Linked DNA regions of Caenorhabditis elegans. The protein of the gene in region 2 interacts with the protein of the main gene of each other region in a biochemical or structural test. Each region holds a gene or a part of one and is shown on either strand. Other genes may lie near its edges.

Evidence for each region.
Region 1: the proteins of tni-1 (region 2) and mup-2 interact in far-western blotting, tested with the Caenorhabditis elegans proteins (one study listed by BioGRID).

What each region holds. Positions count from the first base shown.
Region 1 is NC_003284.9:6,407,559-6,412,426, forward strand, and holds mup-2 (Troponin T), read right to left. Parts: upstream 2,670-4,868; 5' UTR 2,651-2,669; coding exon 2,628-2,650; intron 2,576-2,627; coding exon 2,507-2,575; intron 2,456-2,506; coding exon 2,344-2,455; intron 2,278-2,343; coding exon 1,900-2,277; intron 1,849-1,899; coding exon 1,642-1,848; intron 1,570-1,641; coding exon 1,141-1,569; 3' UTR 913-1,140; downstream 1-912. UniProt on the Caenorhabditis elegans protein: Troponin T is the tropomyosin-binding subunit of troponin, the thin filament regulatory complex which confers calcium-sensitivity to muscle actomyosin ATPase activity.
Region 2 is NC_003284.9:11,374,886-11,379,875, reverse strand, and holds tni-1 (Troponin I 1), read left to right. Parts: upstream 1-2,405; 5' UTR 2,406-2,414; coding exon 2,415-2,474; intron 2,475-2,520; coding exon 2,521-2,646; intron 2,647-2,690; coding exon 2,691-2,817; intron 2,818-2,863; coding exon 2,864-3,008; intron 3,009-3,091; coding exon 3,092-3,239; intron 3,240-3,568; coding exon 3,569-3,715; 3' UTR 3,716-3,989; downstream 3,990-4,990. Other genes in the region: F42E11.3 (Brp/Blh family beta-carotene 15,15'-monooxygenase), read left to right, coding at 4,267-4,366, 4,410-4,543, 4,588-4,757, 4,804-4,882, 4,931-4,990. UniProt on the Caenorhabditis elegans protein: Troponin I is the inhibitory subunit of troponin, the thin filament regulatory complex which confers calcium-sensitivity to muscle actomyosin ATPase activity.

The DNA.
Region 1 (4,868 bases), 5.0 Mb from region 2:
TGTGTCTCCAAATTAGTAATTTCATCACTAGGTACATTTTTGAATACACTATCTGTAAACGAAAGCTTTCAATTTTTTTCATTCTTAAAACAAAACAATTCCCAATTTCTCATCAACTTCTATCCCAATTATTGAAAATTTATGCTCGTTAGTCTTTGTATCCCAATTGATTATTTCTTCTCACTTCAAAATTCTATTTTTCTGTTGTCATTTTATTGTACATTTCTCGATTTCCTGGTGTAAACTTTGTTGCTTCTCGGTTGTAATTCTCTACTGAAACCCAGTTCCTCACTGTTCTCGCCCCGTTGCTTTCATTTCTCACTTTGCGAAAAAAAAACATAAGCAAATACTATGAGGCCTATTTGTCAGACTTTCCAGATGTTCTTCCCAACCATAACTACTCCCCAAACTCTAAAAATTCCCCAGGTCGTTTTCAAAATTGGCCCCAGATGTGTGTCTCGTATCTGTTTTGCTTATTCAAATCTAACCAATAACTTTTATTTTTGAATTTGATAACTTGATTTTGAATTTGATAATGTGTATAATTTTTATCATAGAATGTTTTCAAATGCCTCTCTGATTAGTTTGTTACACACATCAAACTGTGGCGTGTCATGCCGATTTTCTCTCCTACCACAAAAAACTTTGCCCCAGAAATTCATCAACTTTGCTGTTGTAAGCAAATTTTTTCTCACCGCTTTCAAACGATTATTTTTCTCATTAGCTAGATCCCAATTTCTCATATTTTTCCAATTCCGTCTTAGTCCTTTCCTTTTTCAATTTATATTATTCATATATATTTTTTCCGTTGACTCGACTTATTCAAACTTTAATAATAAATATTATAATCAAAATTTGTCTTTCCACGAATTCTTGTTTTAATCTGTTTCATGAAATGCTTACAATTCGAATGGGAATGCAATTTTTATGATAAAGACTTTACTGATAAGCACAAACCGGAGAGTATGCAGAAACAGAGTACTTGAAGAATTGGAGAATTGGTTAATAAATTGGAAACAAATGCAAAAAGTTTTGATTGGAATATTAGAAAATGGATTTTTTTTGGTTGGGATTGGGTTTATTTTAATAAATTTGATAATCAAAAAATTGTGAAATGAAAAAAGGTAAAAAACAGGAAATTTATTCGACAACGACCTCTTCTCCAACATTTGGATCCTCGGTGACTTGTTGTGGCTCGAAGTCATCAGTTGGAACGAAGAGTGGGACTGGCTCGACTGGTGCTCTGGCTCCCTCAACCTTGACCTGCTCAACGTACTTTGGTGGCTCCAAGTTTTTGCGGATCTGCTCGAGTTCTTCGTTTTGCTTGCGTCCCCACTCTGCTGGTGGTCGTCCGGTTCCGCGGACGAGGGAAGCCTGCTTCTCCTCTTCTGGGTTCTCGAACAAGTACCGACGGTCTCCGTAAGATCTTCTGTCGGTTTGACGGTCGAACTTAGAAGCGGTGGTGATCTTTGGTGGATGGACAGAGGAAGCAGCCTCCTCTGGGTCAAGTCCCTTCTTGAGAGCCTTGTTACGGGCGGCTTGACGTTGACGCTCGTGTAACTCTTTCATCTGAAGTAATTGAAATTTGGTTGAATGTCACACACAATATCAAATAAGTCTCATTGAATAGTTTAAACTTACGTCATAGTCTTGACGTTCACGTCTCTTCTCCAAGTCGTACTTCTCAGCCTCGAGCTTGACGATACGAGCATGAAGGCCTCTGATTCTCTCCTTCAAATCGTTTGGAAGAAGTCCAGAGACGTCTTGTACACGGCAGACGGCGGCCAAGAAGTTTCTCTTGGCATCCTCCATCTGTTCCTTGCTCATGACATCCTTTCCTCCCTTAGCCTGAAAGTTTCTTAATTAGTATTCGATTTAAAAATGATACAATAAAAATACCTGAGCCAAGTTTCCGAATTGAGCAGCTTGGTCTCCCTTGGAGGCGACAGTGAAGTTGCGTCCAGCTCCGGCTTCAACTCTTCCGTTGAAAGCTCCAGCCATCATTTGTTGACGACGGACCTTCTCCTCGTTCTTGCGGATCTTCTCGGCATCAGCCTTAGCCTTGCGTTCGTCTTCTTCCTTGCGACGGCGCTCGTCATCTTGACGTCTACGTTCAGCGAACTGACGCTCGTCCTCTTCACGCTCAGCTCGGCGCTTCTCTTGCTTCTCCTTGAGTTCACGAAGCTCTTGTTCGATTTGCTCCTTCTCAAGAACACGGCGCTGCTCGTAATCGAGAAGTTTAGCGGCTTCCTCTTCCTCGTGACGCTTCTTGGCGGCCTAGATATGAATTTGGTTAACAATTTTATGAATGAAACGGAAGGTCTCCCAAGAAGTTATACTCACCAACATGGCAATCTCAGCCTCAGTCATCTCCGCTGGTGGCTTCTCCTCTTGGACTGGAGCACGACGCTCCTTGACCTCTGGTGGAGCGACTACTTCCTCGGTGGTCTCCTCTCTACAATTTCAGTGTTATACAAAAAATCACGAATTCAAAGCTTAAACTTACGGCTCTTCAGCCTCAGCTGGGGCCTCTTCGGTCTCCTCGACCTCCTCCTCCTCGACCTCCTCATCAGAGCTAAAAAATTAAAAATTAGAATGTCTAGAAAAATGATAGGTATATAACTTACTATACCTCCTCCTCGTCGGACATGATTAGTTAGGTTTAGGTTCTGTAATTATATGAAAGTTAAATTCTCAAAATTCAAAATCTCAAAACATATTGATAAGAAGTGATGACACAGAAGAAGAAGGAAATTTGAGTATGTGCCGGTGGGATGTTGAAATCGACAATGAAGAGATATGAAAGTGCTTGCTCCGGGAGGCCGTCGTTGGCAGATAAGTGGGAGGGGCTGGCGGGAGCGGGAGCTCTCAGGGAAAAGAAAAGTATAACATACGGACACAATCTGTGCTGTAAACCTTACACCTACGCAGAGTGAGCAGCCGTGCCCTCCTCGTGTGGCTCTCGTCTTTCTCTCTGCCTGGGGCTTCCCGCGGGCAGTCTGCGTTTCCTCAGAATACGCAGACTTCTGTGATGTGCTATCGTAGAAATAGGGCATCATGTTTCGATCCGAAGGCTCAATATATTTTTGAATCACCAACATTGATTCGAGAAACGGGTTTCTCTGCTTCTCTCTCGATCACCAAGATGTGCACTTCACTATCTCTTCCTCCTACGCTGACACAGACAAGGGACCAACAAGAGACAGATGATGATGAAGAGTTTGGACAAGTTGAAAAAAACAACATAGTTTATACTGGTCAATTGATAAAAATTTCTAACAAGTAGTTAATATGTTTTAGAAATTACTGTGATTTTCCTATTATTCTTGTATCTTCCACTGCACACTAATTCTAATTGGTCAGCTTTAAAATAATAAAAACGCGTTAAATATTTATGTGGTTCAAAAAGTTTTGTTAAAATTTAGGTAAAATACGGTAAACTTATTTTATAATTACGAATTTTCAATGAATCATCACTTTTATTTAAATATTTTAACGCGCAAATGAAAACGTAGTGCTCTTTAAAATTGATCCATTTAAAGTAAACAAATCATTTTAATATTTCTACAAATATTAAATTTCAAAATTCAATGTTTAGAAATCAATGATATTTGTGTAATAGTTTCCAATTTACCGAGGCACCTTGCCAATCGGCTATCATCTTTTTCCAACAAGCTCGTTTCCACCAAAAATCCACTCACAGTGGCCCCTGCAATAAGACAAGCGGGGCGAGCATACGAATAATATTTGGGTGGCACAATTGTAAAAACGCAAAACAATAATACAAATATTCTTTCTTTTCATTTGAATGCAGCTGATGATCTTCGAGACGTTTTCATTCAAATTCTTGTAAGCCAGTGTCAATTGGCCGTCTGGTTCAGTTGCGGGGATCCAATTAAGGGAATTTGAAAAATTGATTCTAAATAATAAATAAAACATTAATTTCAAAGAACATAATAATAAACAAGGCAAAAAAATTACGAAAAGTGTGTTCAATGTGGTGACAACAGTCCACACTAATTAAATTATTGCAAAAAAATAGTGTTATTCTAAGAAATACGAACATCTTTGTGAAATACAAAATAAATGTAGTAATTAATCATCAATTTCAAAACTTTAGTCTAATTAATTTGATATTAACATATGAGATCAAAGATATAGATTACATTTTCGAAAATGTCAAAAAATTACCCTTATTCAGAAAATGTATGTTTTTGACACCTTGTATTTTTCTTGTATTTTATAACATATTTTTTGAAACATTGTATTTTTGGTTTCTAACTAGCAAATTAGTCTATGGTGGAGTAGGGGCAGTGGGGTAATTTTTCTGAACTACCACTCTTATAGTACCAAAACTATCAAATATCATAGTAAAAAGTTTCAAAAACTCTTTGCACATATTCAAAAAATTGACACACAAAAAGTGAAAATTACTAAGTTTTTATCACTTTTTGAGAAAAAATAGCACAGTCGCATGTTCGAGCGAATAAAATGTTTGAATATTATTATTTAAAACATAGGTAGACCATGAAATTTGAAACAATTTTTATTTGGCCATTTTGGCACTATAGATTTTTATCAATTTTCCACAATCGCGCTATTCTACGCTTAATGCCACCGAAAACTTTTAGAATTATTTGTAATTCTGTAGTTAAAAATCTAAGTTTCACTCTGTGAAAATCATTTTGAACTATTTTTTAAGATATTAGATCTATTGATTAGCAATTTTTTAGATTATTTGTTGCTAAAAAGCTGTCATTCGCTAGACTTTAGGAATGAGAATTGGTGTTTCAAAAAATTATGGCTAAAATTAAGTCTTGAAAATATGAGTGTATATCACAAGCAGCTACCGTGTTTTAGCGCGTTTT
Region 2 (4,990 bases):
TCAAATGAATTGTTCATTGATTCAATATTCTTCTCACATATCAACAGTTTTTATTTTCACCTCCCAGTTTTTTCAAATTTAATAGACATAGATAAAAAGTTCGGCCTTTTTCTATCTGTGTTTTCCATTGACACATTTGATCAGGAAGCTAATACAACATATGGGTGGGTGGGCAGAGAGGTCCGCCACGTTTTATTTTTGCTGTTACTGCGTCGAATTGAAGGGCACATCAAAATGAGTATTACAACACGATCCACGGAGCTTAGCGTTGCTCTTCTCGAAACAAATGATCAGAGGAGTAGAAGACACAACGCGATTCCAGGAGAGCACTGAAATCCCATCAAAACGTTGCCCGAGCTCTGATGTCTTTAATGTCCAGCTCCAGGCCGCCACACATTGTACTATTCGGCGAGCCAGCCAACTGACACCAGCCGTGTGTCCTGTCTTTTGCTCTCCTGCCACCTCCTCCAGTTTTTTGATGCTACTTCAATACATTCTGTCTGATCGCAGCCAAGCACTCGCAAATCAAATCTCAGCAACCCCCGCAATGCGACGGCACATCGAAAGCTATTCCCATTCTTCATTCCAGAATCTTCTTATTTCTTTTTCTTCCCCTTTCCTTCTTCTTCGTCATCTTATGCTTCTTCTTTCTATCCCTTTTCCCATTTATGTCTTCTAGTTCAACTCATTTCGTTTTCAGCCCATTCAACTGTGCTTCTTCTGCATATTTTAATTTCAAAACTTACTTTCAGAGTTTTGTTTCTTTTCCATTACAAAAACTCGAGACTTGTCTGGAATGAGAATCAAATCATATACTTTTTAATAAATATATTTTTGCTCACTCAATCTATGATGAAAAAAGAAACTACTTCAACCAAAACTGAGTATTCAGTATTCTCTCCCCTTTTCCTGCCTCTAGCTACATAATAAGACCTTCATTAAATTTTTATTTGTGCTCACTTCTCGTTTTGAAGTCTTTCTATTCACTCACATCAGTCGTCGTTTTTCACGCACTACTACTTCAAATTTGTATGTTTTGAGCAACGTAAAATTGTTTCTACCACCAATTCTTAGATCCGAAAATTTCATTTTTAGTATTATAATTTGATTACTATTCGCTGTCAGATTCATGACCGAGGCTAACAAAACACGCAATGAAACGCCTTTCAAGAAAGCCATTACACGATAATTACCGCTTAAGCTGTCAGTTTCGGAAGCCCTCGCGAAAAAATGGTGTATGCTCATTTTGTTCTCAGAGCTTCTGCAGAGCACTTCACTCACTTCGAATTTTCCTTTCAACTACAATTATTGTCCTTCTATCCACCACCTTTCCTTGCTTCCTAACAACATCCGCTCAACTAACAACTCTCACCTTCACGTTTTTGGTTTCAAAAACTAAAACACTCGCACTGAATCAGTTGGTGATGGCCATTCCACCATAAATTCATTGTTTAATTTTAACTTCCCCTATAGCTTCCATTACCTTTTTTCACCTAACATGTCTTTGCGCTTCTAACTTCGAAAATCTTATGTTTTCCGATATTATTTTCTCCCTCTGTTCACTTCGCTCGCACTTGCACTGTCCCAATTTAAACATCACCACTCGCACATAACCACGTTAAAAATTGTAATGTTTGTTATTTGTAAAATTTTGCAGATTGAAATTTTCAGAATGTATTTAAAATTTCAAAGTACTGCGATAGGCGTACAGGTTATTGTAATATACTCCTACAGTGGTTCGAACAATACATTACAACTAAACTGACAAAGTGTTTATTGGAGCACCAAAATTGGTTCATTACCAACAATAACAATTTTGAAACCATGTCTGAAATATATGACGATCATGTACCTAATGTGTTTTTTTTCTGAAAAACAGTCATAAATTTGGTAATCAATTGCTCCAGAATCTCTTGGCTGAATACAAGGTAACCAACACAATGTTGTCGTACTTCTTCACTTCTTACATCAACCTGCCAAAGTGAGCGCATGCATTTCAGTCATTTTTTATCTTTTTAATATACACTTACTTTCAAATTTTTGACTAGAAAGTTAGTTGGATCTGCACTAATGTTTCAATCGCTTAATAACACACCCATCACTAAGTCTTCCTTTATTTATTTTTTTTTCGAACAACATTCACTGAGCTGATAAAAATACCGTTTGTGTGCGTATCGTTCCAGCAAACCTCACACCCAAACACTTTAGACTCATTCCGTTTCATGGTTTTGCCTCTTCTATCAATCTGTTTTCAATTTGAATCCCCTTTCTCACGTTTACACACACCCTTGAATACCTTCACACCCACCGTACCTCTAACGCTTTCCACCAATTGCTTGGCACATCCCATAGTAGTCGTAACCTTTGTTTTCTGTAAATGTGCTTCTAATCAATTTGCATTTAAGGACTTGAAAATGAGCCAAATTGATGAGAACATTCGCTACGGCGGAGCTGCCAACGAAACCGATGGCGAGGTAAACAAAACAAAGTCATTTGTGTTTTTGAAACGATATTGTTCAGGATGCCCAACGAAAAGCCCAAGAACGCGAAGCCAAAAAGGCCGAGGTGCGCAAGCGCCTTGAAGAAGCAGGACAAAAGAAACAGAAGAAAGGATTTTTGACTCCAGAAAGAAAGAAGAAGCTCCGCGTAAGAGAACATTTGACTTTCAACACTTACAGATTCATTTTCAGAAGCTTCTTATGAACAAGGCTGCTGAGGATCTTAAGACACAGCAATTGCGGAAGGAACAAGAAAGAGTCAAGGTCCTTGCTGAAAGAACCGTTGCTCTTCCAAATGTTGACAGCATTGATGATCACGGTTCGTTCAGTGCTTTAGGCAACAAACAAAATTGTGTATATTTCAGCTAAGCTCGAGGCTATCTACAATGATTTGTTCTCCCGCCTCTGCAACTTGGAGGAAGAGAAATATGATATCAACCACATCACCACAGAGACTGAAACTACAATTAATCAACTCAACATTGAGGTTAACGATCTTCGTGGAAAATTGTATGTCTTTAAATAAACCCAGCAGTGCTAGTGTGTTTTCACCTGCTCCAATTCCGCATGACATGAGAAAAAACTATTTTCAGCGTAAAACCATCATTGAAGAAGGTGTCCAAGTATGACAACAAGTTCAAGAAGATGGCTGAAGCCAAGAAGGAAGATGGAAGCAAGAACTTGAGAAATAATCTCAAGACAGTAAAGAAAGAGAGCGTCTTCACTCAAATTGCCAACAAGGTAAGTTTGTAATAAGTTTAACTGGAATATAAAACTAGTTTTTACTTGAACTGTCAAGAAAAACATGTTAACAAAAAGTAGCCTGCCAGAAAAATTTCTAGAACACATATTTTGTGTTCACAATATTGAAAACTGGCTGAAACAATACATCAATATAGAACATTAAATACAATGTTTAAAATTGACATTTAGAATCCAAAAAACTCAAAATAATAAATTATATCAATTTGTAGTACTCAGAAACATATACTTATTTTATCAACATAACTTTAAAAATTGTTTTCAAATTGATATTTGATGAATTGAATTTACAATAATCCACATTTCAGAAGAAATCTGACAAGCCAGAATGGTCCAAGAAGAAGGAAGAGAAGAAGGAAGAAAGCGCCCCAGAACCAGTTATTGAGCCAGTTGAGGAAGAAGAAACTGCTGCTTCTGAGGGAGAAGAAGAAGAAGAAGAAGCCGACGAGGAATAAATACCGGCATTGTTGTCATTATCTTGTTCACTGAATCTAACTAATCATTCTCGCGTATAATACATTTCATCAATTCAATTTATGTGCCTTTTGAGTTTGAGTATTCTTAAAATTTTGTGCATGTAAAAGGTATTTGGCCCTTTTTTATAAATCTTCATTTGTTTTGTTCTGCCGTTATACTGTTTCAAAATTTCCAGTATACATTCTTTGTATTCTTTCAGTAATATTCCATCTTATTCTTTTCTGCATATTCGCAATAAATGAAGTTATCACCAACCCGGAATTACAGAGCAAAACTCGAAAGCAGCACAGAAAGGCATTTCTATTTGTGTGAATTATCCTAACGATTTTCAGCTGTCAAACTAACAAATGTAAATGAAACAGGGAATAAGGCAAAAACACCTGGAAACGCAAATCGCCGCCTTCTCCGACGTCACCAAGTGTAACCGGGTTGAGACGAAATAAAAGGAGCTCGATAAGCCATTTTGATTCTGAGTTAAACTCGAGATTGGTTTAATATGGAAAGAGTTCAATTTTCATCCTACGATGAAATGCTCCACTACAACTCACGAGTTGCGAATCAATTCCCAGGAGTTGATTTGAACGTTTTTCGGAAGATTCACTATCTGGAACTTCTGTCACAAATGTTTGGTATGTTAGTTCACAATTTTTTTAATACATTTATAGTTTTTAGGATTCCTATTTTACACTTTCTACCTGATAATTTTTCTGGTTCACGGAAAAACATTCTTCATCTCCGAGCACACATTCAAAGCGATCTTCATTATTCAAATGATCACTTTCGGCGCGGCACTGGTCATTCAGAAGGTATTCAATTTTAGTTTTAAAACTGTAGCATCACACAATTTCAGTTTTCCTTTATGGTCAACTCGGTAGAATATGTTACGTACTCAACATTTCCATTTATTCCAAAGTTTGTGATCTCCATTTGTGATCGGCTAGTAACGGCTCAAATGCCTTTGTATTGGTTTGTTGTCAGTGCTTTTCTCATAATTCAAATTGCCCAATTCGCTAATCAAAAGTATGTGTTTCTGTCAAAACAACATTCTAATAAATACATTTTTCAGTCCACGCGGAATTAAACTGGCACATACCTACTTGATACCTTACGGAATAATCATTACCCTCATTTCCTTCATTACCCCGGTAATATTTTCAAGAGAAGCTCAGAAACTAGGAAATCGTTGTTTTCAGGATCATATGAAACTTTTTATGATCGTCGTCTGCTTTCTAATCTGGTGGATTTATCGAAAG